3 linked regions of the Nothobranchius furzeri genome follow. The protein of the gene in region 1 interacts with the protein of each later gene in a biochemical or structural test. Links are inferred from orthologs where the notes say so. Each region holds a gene or a part of one and is shown in the gene's direction. Other genes may lie near its edges.

Region 1 (4,791 bases):
TGCTGGGGAAAATGTAAGTAAGTTAAAGACAAATTCGTCAGATACTAAATTTAAGTGAGAATTAGAATGAGAAAATGTGAATTTCTCAACATTTGTTAGTTTTTTTTATCTATATCTCACAGAAATGTTTTCAGTTTAGAAATGATTAGAATTAAAACCAGTAATATTTAATTGGAAACAATGCAATCAAATAAACACAGTTCAGACTGAAACTTCAGCAAAAGATCTTTTTACTAAATGGTTGTCAAAAAGATACATTGCAGTTACAGAAAATATCATAAATAAAGTACTAAAGGTTTTAACAGTAATTCAATACAATTGTAACTGTTTTTCACTTCAAACTTCATTAGTTATTTAAATGACACCTGCAGGTGGCAGCATTGTATTGATGTAAAAGGAGCTTTTGTCCAACACATTTGTAGTCACTGCTAAAAATCTCATCAGTAAAAAACAAACTTGAGGCTCAGCCTTAGAGATCAGGCGAAGGGTTCCATCATCCACGTAATGCTGGAGAAGAGCTCCTGCTCCTCACTGAGAGAAGGCAGCAGACGTGGTTTGGGCTGTATACACTATCCAGGAATAGATCCAGAACTTGTTGGAGTATCCATATATCCTCTGGGACCTTGGGGATAAACTGAAATCCAGCACAAAGCCTTACTATAAAAAAAGGCAAGGCTCAAATTTGAGTGATTGAGATTTGACTCGCGTTGTTGCAAAATAAAATAATGATCAAACCCAGGTGGTATGCAGAAAATGAGGAGCTTGATCAAAGGTAAAGCGATATTGTGTTACATTACTTTGCAATAATTAATGTGTGATGGCATGTGAGCAAATCAAATGTTGGTCAGATTATTGTAAAGCATCAGAAAATTATATAAGAGCGTCTCTGTCATTTGAAACAAGTGGCAGCATGCTTTTGGGAGGGGATTTGTTTCAAAATGGAGGAAATATGCAGAATAAGATGCAAACACTTGATCAGTCTGCATCAAACCAGGTGATGTAGTCTAATGGGTTCACTAAAGATGTGCAGCTCAGCTCAGTGGTCAGTTTGGAGGAAGTGGTGAGATCATAGGGAGATCTACTCTTACATATTGGAAAAGTGAAGTAGTTTTCTATCGTCAACAAATGGTCATGTCTTAAGAATTTTCTCCTTGAATTGTTTTATGTGGAAGAAGACAGAGAAAGCAAAATTTCTAATATTTAAATGTAAAGTTTCTTAAAAAAACAAATAGGAAAATTTCCTATTAATTCTGCTAAAACTTAATGTCCATAGTAATATAACCATAATTAAAAGTTAAAAAACTAATTTTTTTACTAAACAGTGTAAGAAAATAACATGAAATAGATCATTAAAAGTAATTAATTATTCTAAATAAAAATGTCTTTAAAAAGACTGAAAGTTTAAGGTTTTCAGGTTATTAGTGTTTCATTCAACTGTTGTTTAAAGTTTTTAATATTCTCTCAGCTAAGTCCCTCGAGCGCTTTTCTACCCGAGGGAAAACAAACTAGATGATTATTTAAGTATGTAAATAAGATAACACCTCTCTTTCACTGCCCATGTTGTTTTGTGTGTAGTGTGTGAGTGCTCGTGCGTGTGTTTGCGACTGTGTGAATGTGTATGTATTTGTGTGCGCGCGCTCGGGGCTGGATTTCGGGTTAAATATTCAAAATGGCGGACGGAGGAGCAGCGAGTCAAGATGAGAGTTCAGCACCAGGTAATGATTACAGCATTTTACATATTCATACTCATATTCAAACTGCGTTACATACAATTTATAATAACAATAGTGATGAAACGCGGAGGGAGCTGGAAATGAGGAGGATAAGGGGCGATGTTTGAGTTTACACACAAATGTAGTTTGACAAGAGGGAGGAAACGAGCTGTTGCAGTGCGACGGTAAAATACATGGAAACATGCCTCCCCCTTTGTGTGATTAGACGGATGTACGCCGCTACATATTCATACATCTGCCGACAAATACAACTTAGCATATTTTATTAGTAATCGCCGTCGTGACACTTGTTCATGCGGAACGCTTATATATTATTTTCTGAAGGCAGTTTGATTGAAATGAGCATGCTAGCTTGGTTAGCTCGGGTGCTAACGCTTGGCTTTGTGTTGATGCACACTGGGGCTTTTTTCTCAGAGCTTTGCATATTCATATTTCACCGGCCGGGTAGTGGCCGCCACTCGTTTGTTCTTCTTTTTCTACTGATAATATTCTAAACAACAAGCACGGCTTTTGTCAAACACCGTGTCAGGTTGGTGTTGCTCAGCTCGACGTGATTTTTTTTTACGGGAGAGCATTTTGCCTTCGGTCTTTTGTGCTCGGCGCAGGAGAGCCACAGCAGCCTGTTGTTATTCATGCAGGCCTCCCTCAACCAGAGTGCGGAGTTCAGCATATTCCACCATCATAAATACCACACTATTATAACACACGAGTAGCGTTTGTTTGATCTAATGAAAGACGTTCAGTTAGCTTCAACTGAATCCGATACTTTCGGTTCATTTTACATGATTCACTTAATCTACAGTTTGTGCTGCTTACGATTGTAATAGTCTTTCTCGCCGCTCTTAGAACAGAAGTTGGATCGAGCCTTTTATTAAGTGATAGCTTTCTGGCTTCGATTTATTTTGCCTGGCGAATTTCAACATATAATTAATCTGTTCCTGACAAACACCGTGTGTACGTTATTCCCCTTTTTGTGGTCGAAGTTCGTTGAGTTCAAAGCCTGTACCTGTGTATCCCCCTCAGGCAAAGGGTGGGGTGGTGAGGCCCACTTCCGGAAGGCAACAGTAATAACAAGCAGAAGGTTTTTTTTTCTGTTCTTATTCTTAACTAGTTTCATGAACAGACAAGTCCCAACACGAACAGAACATTTTTACTACATGTAGTTAACGTTTCTGGCTTACTCTAAACAAACCAGTCAGATGTGGTAACATTAGTGGATTATTCTATGCATAGATTCGAATAGACTTTATTAATCCCACAGTGAGGAAATTCATATGGACTGGACATCCCTTTAAAAAAGGCTTGGTTTGTTGCAGCTAACAAAATATTAGGTGGTATGTTATTAAATATACTAATAAATGAGAGTCAAACAAATTTTAAACAAGATTAAAATATGATTAAAGGAGTTTTTATTGTTCCAGATTTAGGTGCATGTGTCATGAAAACACAAACAGTTTATGTAGCTGATTAACAATTGTCATTGTTGTTTTGTAAAAGTATTTGGTGTTTTACTGACTACTCAGGATCACATCTGAAAGCTGCTTTTGTTTTTTCCTAAAACATGTTCATTCCCAAAACCTGCTTAAATTTGTTTTTATACAGAAGGCAAAGATAAACTTTGACAATTTTAAGAAAAACATACAAATGCATGTACAATTTATATTATTTCATGAGGGAAGTGTCCAATTTTTCAAAAATTAAGTCTTTTTGTTAGCATCTTTCAGATGTTAGAATATTTGCAGATTTGTGTGTGGGGGGGGGGGCTGATTTATTACACTGAGCTTCTCAAGAATGTGAAATAATTCTGTCTTCCTCAAACTGAAGCTACTTTTCTCATTTAATCAGTTTTACAGTTCCACCCTCATTCTAGCCTTGTAGTTTCATCATGAATATTCATTAATGTAAACACAGTTGTTATGAATAATGCAACACTTGCTGTAATAAATTCAGGACATGCCATCTCAAAGTACTGAGAGGACCTGCATGCAGGCTTCACTCAGACAAGCTGCAGCTTATTTTTTCCCCTTTTGCTTTGGATGAAGAAATTTTTACATAATCAGTTTTGTTGTTTCCTCAGGACTTAAAGAGGAAGTAATGTCTAAATTAACTTTTTTTTGCTGATGAACTGTATAAATGTGTGTAGTAGTGTTTTAAATGTGTGTATTCATTATTTCAGCATTTTGGTGCATTTTCTTTAAAAATTAAAAATTCTGCCTAAATACCACAGTATAGCGCCACCTTCAGCTTAAAACATAGAGTTTGAGTCATTTTGAATACACTTTAGCCAACGGCTAAAGAGTAAGATACTACGTAAACCAGTAGAGTACTACGTAGCAGCTCTGTGTCAAAGTTATAAAGCATAGAGAGTCTCGGCCACGCTTTGTGGCGAGTTGGGAGTTTGATTTGCAAGCGAGTGTAGGAGGTTAGCTGTAGTTCAGCATTAGCATATAGCATTAGCATATCCTAGTCTTTAGCATAGCTTTTAGTGTTATACATACTTATTTAGTGTTAGTTTGGCTGTTGGATATTGTAGTTTAGTTAGTGTTTGGCTGTTAGTGTAATTAGGAAAGTAGTTCGGGTTTAGTGCTCCATATCGTGTTAGTAAGGTGAGACGGTGTAGTGTAGTGTGGTTGCGGTGGCTCTGTGGAGTTGGACTCCTTTCCGCTGGACTTAGAAGTTAGGCGCCAGTGGTTGCGCGCAATCGGTGTCTGGAAAACAGTCAGCTCCCGACTGGTGCTGTAGTTTGCAACCATTATTTTACCCGCGATTCTGCACGTCTCCTTTTGAAGAGAGAGGGCTGTGCCCACCGTGGCTCTTCTGCGATTTAGATGCAGCCCACCAACTCTGCTCCCCCACCATGGCGGGCTCCAGTCTGAGGTGAGTAAGCTAAATAAAAGTTGTAACATCTTCTAAAGACAATTCCCTACCTAAATGCAAAGCTTGAGAGACGTGGTTCACTTAATTTAGCTAATATCAGCCTGCACTGCCTTAGGGCTGATTTGTCAAGTTCACAAAATGTGGAACGGGATGTAAGGCTAGAATCAGCAGCGAATCGGAA
Region 2 (4,611 bases), on another chromosome or scaffold:
ACTTGTGTAAACGGTTGTGTTTAGAACTGTTTAAGTCAGTATCTTAATGGGGCTGCAACAACTGCAACAGACTGAGAATGGCCTTTGAAGAGGAGTTTCCAAAATGTCTCAAAACATTTTGAAAATGTTTACAACTTTCAAACTGGTCACAGAGTCATTGGGGTCATGAAAGTGACAGAAACTCCATCTACAAATAAAACATAATGTTTCTAAAAAGTTGTTTTACTGTTCTTTAGATTCCTTTTCTGGTGATTTCTTTTGGAGGGTATTTGCCTGTGCCGCTTGTAGCTCTAAAGTAATCAGTTTCCACATCAACCATACAACATTTAACATCTAAGCAGCGTGGATCATAATGGAAATGTGTTCCCCACGACCACGGCGGCTCGTCCCTTCCTGTCGTGTCACACAGCTCCTGCAAATGCATTTCTGGGACTGTGTGCCTGGTAGTAACCAGGGGTTGATGAATGGCCTGCATCTTTCTGAGTCAGAGGACTCCAAAGCGCTTTACACTACATGGAATCATTCATTCACTCACACAGCGATAGTGATGAGCTACATTGAAGCAACAGCTGCCCTGGAGCAGGGAAGGGGAAGTGTCTTTGCCCAAGAACACAACTGGCACTGACAGAGCCTGGGTTTGAACCAGCACCCTATTAATTACAGGGCAAACTCCTAACCTGATCTAAGGCAGTTCACCCTCCCCACCTGTTGCTGTGGTCAGAGGGACTGGTTTTTCATTAAACTGTTTACCAGCCCATTCCTAACGGTAACATTCCTAAACCCCTTTTTCATTTTTCGTACAAAGATATTTGCTATGAATGTGCCTCCAATATTTATTTAAACTCAAGACTGAACACATGATTGTTGATCCAGAGATCCACCAGTAATTCCAAAGTCCAGATATAAAACTGGATGGGATCACTCTTTCCAGTCTGTTGCACCTCAATTATGGAATAAACAACACTGTTTCAGCAGTCTGGAGTCATTTAGACTTTCTGATTAAAATGTCTTGTTTTAGTAATCTGTTACTGTTGGTTTTTTAAATCATGTTTTAATTGCAATGCTCTGTTATTGAGGCACTTTTATCAGTAAAAGACAAAAATAAACGTAAGTTTCTGACTTTTTTCTGTGAATTAGACTCAAATTTAAAGGAAAGGGAGTAGAAAAATCTGTGCTGAGCCAACACTCCTGGTTCAGCACATGTGACCAGGTCAGAATAACAGGAGATAAGAAATGAATAGGTAGCTGCCGCTCAGCTGGTGTGGTGCAGAAAACCTCCAACTGGCGAAAAACTGCGCGTTTCTTCTAGTCCTTCTCGAGGATTCCACATGTTGCGTACCCAAGGTCTCATCGTTTTTTTTTTTTTTTTTTTTTTTTTTTTTTTATTGTTTGCGCCGCGTCGCTGCAGCCCGGAGCTCGTCGGTGGGAGTACCCCCTGCCTGCGCAGGTCCCTCTTTTGCTGAGCCGTTCCAGTAGTTGGAGTTGTTGTACAACCGGAGCGCGTCACTGAGCTGCGAGCAGCTGAGTGCGCAAACAGAGGCAGAAACGTTAGGTTATCTTCTGATACGGTCACACATCGACCTGCCACTTCTTCTGCCGCTCACAGCAGCAGTGGAAGAAGAAAGGAGAAGCAGCAGCAGCAGCGTCCCGGTCCGGCTCGCGGAGCTCGAGCTGCCGCTTGTGTGGGAGAAAACTCCCGAACACGCTCGCCTCAGCTGGCATGAGCTAACCGACGACTCCGACATGGAAACCAAACCGTTCCTGTCATTGGGTAAGTTTGTTTGTTTTATGACAAAGCCTCGCTGAGGTGTTTGTAAACGGATTTAGTTGCTCTCGCGCCGCGTAATTCTTTTGTTTCTGTTTTGACAGCGCGTGCGGCTCACCCACATGTTTGGAGCTGCTCACGCGCTTTTATACATCTCTTTAAATGTTGCTAACTGATAAAACTTTGTGTTTTATCGTTTATCTGAGAAAGAAAAGACCCAGATAAGTCAAAGTTAGGTTTAATTCCTGAAGCAACTGAGTGAGCTGATGACAACTCTGATAAGAGCTCAGACTCGCGTTCGTTTCAACTTCTAAACGTTACAAAACAAACTACTTTAAATGTGGGCCTATTTTTGTTTGTTTGGTCGCTTTAGATCATAAAAAATGAACACATTCCATTTTTAACCAGCACCTAAACTTCTTTTGAACTTACCATTTCTGAGAAAATGAACTTAATACTCTATTTTGACCTAAATCTGGAAGGACTTAGCTTTCTCATAAGACGTGTTCCTAATATATAATATAAGAGACCACTTTAATAACGTCGGTGTAACCATTGATAGGTGCCGGTAACCTCACATGTGACCTCTGCACTTAGCTCAAAGTTTACATCTGGACCATGTTTTATGGATGACGTTGTTGAGCAAAGCGTTGCATGGATCATTGTGCAAGAAATGGCACATTTTATGTTCAGCTAAAGCTTATTTTGCACAAATGTCAGTTTATGTTCATTTGAAGCTTCCGGCACATCAAAGTCAGGAAGATCCAGGTGTTTAATCTGAGGTCAGATCTAATTTGCACTAATTGGCCCATTGACGGCCCATTGACTCCCCAGCTTAAACACAGGCACACTCACCATGCTGTAAATCATTAACACTGACTGCTACTGTAAGTTTGCTAAAGTGAACACAGGAGACCCTTGTCCCCCCATACCCTCCCCCAGTATTGTGTCTGCTGCCTTTCTTCATAAGAGCATCATGTTACACCTTGACACACATCACCAGCTGCATCAGGGAGATTCTCAGGGACCTCCTGAGGCACTGGGCAGCTTTCTTCAGTTACAGGCTCTGCTCACTGACACTCCCGCCACAACACCCTTTATGTGGCTTCCCAGAAATACGCTAAACCGCCAATGCTGCACACACTGGCAGGCTGTTATTGCAGGTGCATTGTATTGTGTATCTGTAATGAGAATGATTAGAGTTTCATGCTGCCTGAACGTGCACTAGAACTGCCCATGACAGCATAAACAGACTGGAAAGCTTTAATCTAACAGTCTTTAATGGTCGGTGTAAATCTGAACCCCTTTTCCACATGTGACAGATCTTTAGTGGTATTCTCTTTGAGTCTTTAAGTGATCATTTATGTTTGAAATCACACCAGCAAAAGCAGAATGTTCCTTTGGTTCTTCAAGGACACCCTTAAAGTCCTTGGATTTATTGATTATCCGCTTACTCAGAGTAATTATCTAATGTCGTACTCCATTAGAAATCCTGACATGCATCTTTTTGAGATGACAGCGAGCACATTTTACAGTTATAGATTGGTTGTTGGCCGTGATGACGACACCTGGCTTTTGGCAGCTGATGCTCTGTACTGCATGTGTACTTTGTGCTGATGTGGTCCCACCATCAACTATTGCCCCCTCCCTGCACGTGCACACACACACACACACACACACACACGCACGCACGCACGCACGCACGCACACACACACACACAAACACACACACACTGACATCAAGCAATAAAGACCAAATGGATGACATTGGAAGGAGAGTGTGTCCTTCCATCCCAGCATTAGAGGGATGATCATGACAGTGTGTCAGTGAAATCAACAGTGAGAGATGCCAAAAAAAATCACAAGAGAAAATACATTTAGTCTGTTAATATTGATTTCTCATTTGTTCCATTGCTTTAACCAAATGTATCAACACCAAGCCTACTTTCTCTTCTTACAATAGTCATTTGTTTAATAACATTTATAGTCTTGTCAAATCTATCTTTTTATTTAAAAGCATGTAAATCACAGTAAACTGCACAATGACTGTCTCATTCTCAAAACTATGATCACCCCTGGATTTTTAACGTTGTTTAGACTATAAAGAACCAGTTTTGGACACAAAAATAATAGAAACTGTGAACAAATATGTTGGAATTCTGCAAAAATGGCGACACTTTTCTAATAAGTTTCATCTGAGTCATGGGGAGCATGACTCACCTGTGACAGTTGCACAACTGTTTTGTAATGAAGTCACAAATTGTCTTACTACACTAAACTGAGAAGTGTTCCAGACGGGGTCCACCGCTTACTCTGACTTTTTAAATGAGGAATAACGCTGCATTAATTAACACCAGTGCCCTGCAACTCACACAAGGACTTTTTGAACTTCCGCAACTGTTCTTGGACATTTTTGAAATTCCCTGTTCACAATATTCACCATCAGTCACATGAGGGTGATATTCTGGTGTGACACCTTTTTGTGTCACATTTTGAGTATGTTAAGATCTGGAATCCCATAAAACTTGCCTAAAGTTCTCAGAAAATGACTAACAAAGGTTGTTAAAGTTACAGTGAGCAGTTTCCAGGTCCTTCGCCCTAATGGTTGAAAGTGGAATCACAACTGCCGTGAACAAATCCGCTGTAGTTTGCTGTAGCTAGTGCTAACAACAAGCTAACACTAACATAAGCAAACTAATAATAAAATAAGCCACAACGTAAAAAGATCCACACTGTTGGACAAATATTATTACTTACAAGTTCAGTAGCAACAAAGCCAGGTCACTATCAGTCTATGATTTCTTCTTGTGCTTTTTTTTGAAAATGGGCAAACTGAAAATGCTAAC
Region 3 (4,823 bases), on another chromosome or scaffold:
TCCAGTCCAGAGTTGACCTCGGTACACGTTGCTGAAGCGTTTCCGCAGATGCGCTTTCTCATGTTTAAATGAACTCAGAAATCAAAAGACTCTGGGACGAGTCTGCGTTAGCGGGTTGCATTCAGCTATTCTGTCTGGCTTGACAGAAATAGCGTGGTGGGAGAAAAGGAGCCTGCCGGGCTCCTTTCCCCGTGGCGTTCGTTCCGCACTCCTGCTCTCATCCAAACTTACTGACTCCTTACCGAAACCTCTTCTCTTCCCAAAGCAAACTTGTGCGTCAGAGCAAATGTGTTTTGAAGTTACTGTGGATACGGACCTGTATGAGCAGGTGTGAAGGTCATTGCTAAACATCTTCAAAAACATTATTTAATTAAGTATACTGATTCATTATAGTTCATTATGATTACCCAAAGCATAATAATCATTCATTTGATTAAAATACATTTATAATGAGCAAAGTGATCAAATGATTATTTAACATTAATACACAAAGAAAGCTTAAGACTCCGTTTTATTATGACTAGGCTGTGTGTGAAGTCCTTCTTCTGGAGATGCAGGTGTTGGATGTTGTGGAGTCCTTCAGACTTGCTGGCGGCTTAGGTCTTAATCTGTGGGTGAAGGTGCTGCATGGCCCAGCTTTGACCCAGCCGGGCAAATACGACCTTTGGCACAGAAAGGTCGTATTTGAACAGGTGTCCAGACCCACCCTAAAAGTCCTGTCTGTGATGAAGTCATCTGATTAAAATGCTGAGTTGTGCAGACTCACAGACTCCTGACAAGGGAAGATACAGCAGAACATGTAGTAGCCAGGGTTATTTGCTCTGGCTGCATATGACCTGTGGGATCTTTAAAATCGGTTCATTTCGTGACGTTACAACTAGATAACCTAATTAATTTACTAATTTATTCAAAAAGTGATTGTAGTCAGTTAAAAGCTAAGCTAAAAAGAAGGGTTTTGAGCCTGTTTCTAAAAACATGAACGTTCTCTGCGGCCCTGAGGTCCCCTGGCAGCTTGTTCCAGAAGCGAGGACCGTAGTACTGGAAGGACGCCTCGCCGTGAATATGAGTCCTGACTTTAGGGATGACAAGGACACGGCTGCCAGAGGAGCGCAGAGACAGCGTGGGTTTATACGGTAAAAGCAGTTCTGAAAGATGAGAAGGCCCAAGACCATTAAGACACTTAAAAACCGTTAAAAGTATTTTAAAATCGATACTTAAACATACGGGGAGTCAATGCAGTCGTTCTAAAACTGGAGTGATGTGCTCCCGCCACCTGGTCTTCATCAGGACAGGCACTACTGAGTTTTGTAATAGTTGTAGACCTGAAATCCTCTTTTTAGGAAGACCAGAAAGCAGGGCATTGCAGTAGTCTATGCTACTGGTGATAAAAACATGCATCCGCATCTCCGTATTGGCTCGAAAGAGAATGGGGCGGACTCTGGCGATGTTCTTTAGATGATAAAAACCTATTTTGGTGATATTTTAATATGATGGATAAAATTAGGCTAAGAGTAAAACGTGACACTCAGGTTCTTCACTTGTGAAGATGGATTAAAAGACAGTGATTGGAATTTTGGTAAAAGCTTCTCTCTCTGGGCCTCAGGACCGATAACTAAAGCTTCAGTTTTGTCCTGGCTGAGCTGGAGAAAGTTTTCTGCCATCCAGGATTTGATGTCTAAAATGCAGTTAAACAGTGCATCCATTGACTGTGTGTCATCAGGGGACACAGAGATGCACAGCTGTGTATCATCAGCGTAACTGTGGAAATTCACCCCTTGTCTCCTGATGACACTGCCAAGAGGGAGCATATAAAGGTTAAAAAGCACTGGGCCTAAAATTGAACCCTGGGGCACACCACATGTAATCCCATGAGCCCTAGAGGAACAGGTGTCCAGACTCACCATAAAAGTCCTGTCTGTGAGGTAGAAAGTGAACCATTGGTGAACAGCACGAGAGGCCGATCCATTTCAAACGAGTTAAAAGAATAGTGTGGTCTACTGTATCAAAGGCAGCACTTAGATCCAGTAGAACCAACACAGTCACCCTCCGGGCATCATAATTTACACTAAAATCATTTAAAATCTTCAGAAGGGCCGTCTCGGTGCTGTGGTTCACCCTAAAACCAGACTGAAAATTTTCAAAGACATTATGGGTGTTGATAAAATCATTAAGTCGAATTAAAACAAGCTTTTCTAAAATTTTCCTTAAAAATGGTAAGTTGGATACCGGTCGATAATTGTTTCAGTCATTAAAATCTAAATTGCTTTTCTTCAGCAGGGGCCTCACCACCGCCCATTTAAAAGCGGCAGGAAAGACCCCCCGTCTGAAGGGAGCAATTCATCATAGTTAAAACCTCATCTCTAAAAGAATCATAAAATTGTTTAAAAAAAAACAGTGGGTCCACGACACATGTGGTGGGCCTCACTGAGGAGAAAACTTTATCAAGACTCTCAGCTTCAACCAGAACAAAACTGTCCAGTGTTTCCTCAGGTAGACACACACTCTCAGATGTGTCTAAAACCACGTTACGTTGGGAGGGTAAAATGTTGCATCTGATGGTGTCTACCTTCCCTCTAAAGTGGGCTGCAAACTCCTCACAGAGGGGGTTTTAGGGGGTTTTATGAGTTGAATTTAAGTTGGAGTTGAGAATATTATTAATTTTGGAGAAAATAATTTTAGGGTTACTTTTATTGTCTGAGAGAATTTTGGCAAAGTATGCGTTTCTTGAATTTCTTACGGCATTTTTGTATGATTTAAGTAGTTCTGAATATATCTGATGGTTTATTGTTAATTTGTTTTTCCTTCATCTCCTCTCCGCCACTCTGCAGTTTCTCTTTAGTTTTTTTGGGTTTCATTTCTCCAAGGTGATGTATGATTTGACTGTAAGTTTTTGGTTTTGAGTGGAGCAAGCAAGTTAAGAGCTGACTCAAGTCTTCTGTTAAAATCATTGATAATGGCATCACCAGGGGCGGAGACGTTAGTTGGAGGGATATTGTTAAAAGCTTCAAGAAAACCAGCAGCCATGTCAGGGCTTAGATGACGCTTCTTTACAGTTCTCACAGAGGGCCCCCACTGGATAATGCTGGTGATGTTAAAAAATACGCAATAGTGATTGGATACTGCCAAGTCGACAACAGAGGACACACCAGTGGACACATACGTGATGACCAGGTCCAGGGTGTGTCCTCTGTCGTGAGTTGGCTGCGTGACATGTTGGGTAAAATCCATATACCGTAATTTCCGGACTATAGAGCGCACCTCAATATAAGCCGCACCAAGCTAAAAGCTGCAGATATCTATTGAATTGAAAACGTAGTTTAACTGAATGTAACTGAACTGATCAGCATCAAACAAAACAGAAAAGTTATTGATTAGTTTATTCATCGTCCTCCTGCGCACTGAAACCACTGAAGTTATCTTCTTCAGTGTCGGAGTTGAACAGCCTCACAAGAGCTTTGTCACATACCTTTTCTGTGTCGATGTCTGTGTTACTTTCATCATCCCAGGGTGAAGCTGGGAAAACAAGCATTGCTGTTTTACTGTGAAAAAAACCCTCCTGTGCGATTTCCGTAGCACTCCTTTAACCATTCCTTCATTAGACTTTCCAGCATCCATCCTTTCTGGTTGACTAAAGCTGCACCTCATTATAAGCTGCATGGTTCAAAGCGTGGGAAAAAGTAGCGGCTTATAGTCTGGAAAATATGGTAATTCAAGAAGTTTAAAAAAATCTGTGGCTAAAGGGTCTAAAAGGTTATACATGTGCAGATTAAAATCTCCAGCTAAAATAATCCCATCAAAGGAGTTGGGTAAAACTGATAAAAACTCTTGAATAAAAGGTGCACTCTATTTAGGAGGCCTGTAAACAGTGACACATAAAATCTGAAGAATGCTAAAAGCGGCTGCAGTACATTACAGACAGCGAACATTAAAAAGAGTCATATTGACAGATGCTGGAGGTAGAGTGGCTGTGTGATTTATTGAACTTGAGGTGTTTGGTTGCTGTTTAAGGTTATTGAAGTTGGGTTTGCTAGATTTACGATTGATTGGTCGCTCTCTGCTGATAATGACAGGTATGTGGTTGGTTTGGCAGGGTCCAAGTCCGATATGTGAGTTAATGTTCAAATCAAGGCTGGGTTTGTAGGTACTTGAACCAGGGGGGCATCACGCCGGGGACACACTGGCCGCGGAAGCACCGCGAAAATGGGACCGCCTTCATTCGGCGCCCTTGTTAAGCTATTCTATAGACCACATGGGCCGCCGAAGCGCCACGAATCGCCTCGCGCCGGCGCTCCAGCCCGCGCCGTGCAGCGGTCATTTCAGCGTTGGCTCTATTTTTTACGCGAGCCGCGGGTGAATCACGTGAATTCTGGCAGGAAGTCAAACGTAGACATAAGAGGCAGGCCGGTAAAGTTAACAAAATAAAGCATTTCAAAATAAAATTCCGCAATAGTCAAATGTGTTCTTAAACAGACACTGCAGAAAAACCAAACGAACACGCACACACATACACACACATCGAACTTGTGTGCGTGTGTGACCACGTGAAGGGGGGTGTGGTTTTGGGTGTCTTTTCACCGGAGCAAACAGGACAGAGAGGCAGAAAGTCTGAGGCAAGCAGTTAGGATGGATGACTTTAATTTGATGCAACCTTCTGTGATTGGCTGGCAATTGGCCTAAAGGGTGGTTTTCCCAAGCCCCATTGAGTTTGCAGTCCCAGACTCCTCTTGATGTTGTACATCTCCAAGCTTTGAATCATCCATGAGTTCTACATTGAGTCATAAGCTTTCTTGTACTCTATCCAGGCCATACACAGGTTGGCGTGT

Evidence for each region.
Region 2: the proteins of pou2f1b (region 1) and rxraa form a complex in vitro, tested with the Homo sapiens proteins (2 studies listed by BioGRID). The link is inferred for Nothobranchius furzeri from reciprocal best matches to the Homo sapiens genes POU2F1 and RXRA.
Region 3: the proteins of pou2f1b (region 1) and POU domain class 2-associating factor 1 are reported together in a solved structure, tested with the Homo sapiens proteins (2 studies listed by BioGRID, with this or other methods). The link is inferred for Nothobranchius furzeri from reciprocal best matches to the Homo sapiens genes POU2F1 and POU2AF1.

The regions. Positions count from the first base shown.
Region 1 is NC_091754.1:25,720,540-25,725,330, forward strand, and holds the start of pou2f1b (POU domain, class 2, transcription factor 1b), read left to right. Parts: upstream 1-1,527; 5' UTR 1,528-1,669; coding exon 1,670-1,715; intron 1,716-4,791. UniProt on the Homo sapiens protein: Transcription factor that binds to the octamer motif (5'-ATTTGCAT-3') and activates the promoters of the genes for some small nuclear RNAs (snRNA) and of genes such as those for histone H2B and immunoglobulins.
Region 2 is NC_091746.1:41,868,147-41,872,757, reverse strand, and holds the start of rxraa (retinoic acid receptor RXR-alpha-A), read left to right. Parts: upstream 1-1,478; 5' UTR 1,479-1,743; coding exon 1,744-1,771; intron 1,772-4,611. UniProt on the Homo sapiens protein: Receptor for retinoic acid that acts as a transcription factor.
Region 3 is NC_091753.1:21,177,938-21,182,760, forward strand, and holds the start of POU domain class 2-associating factor 1, read left to right. Parts: upstream 1-1,651; 5' UTR 1,652-4,823. UniProt on the Homo sapiens protein: Transcriptional coactivator that specifically associates with either POU2F1/OCT1 or POU2F2/OCT2. It boosts the POU2F1/OCT1 mediated promoter activity and to a lesser extent, that of POU2F2/OCT2. It recognizes the POU domains of POU2F1/OCT1 and POU2F2/OCT2.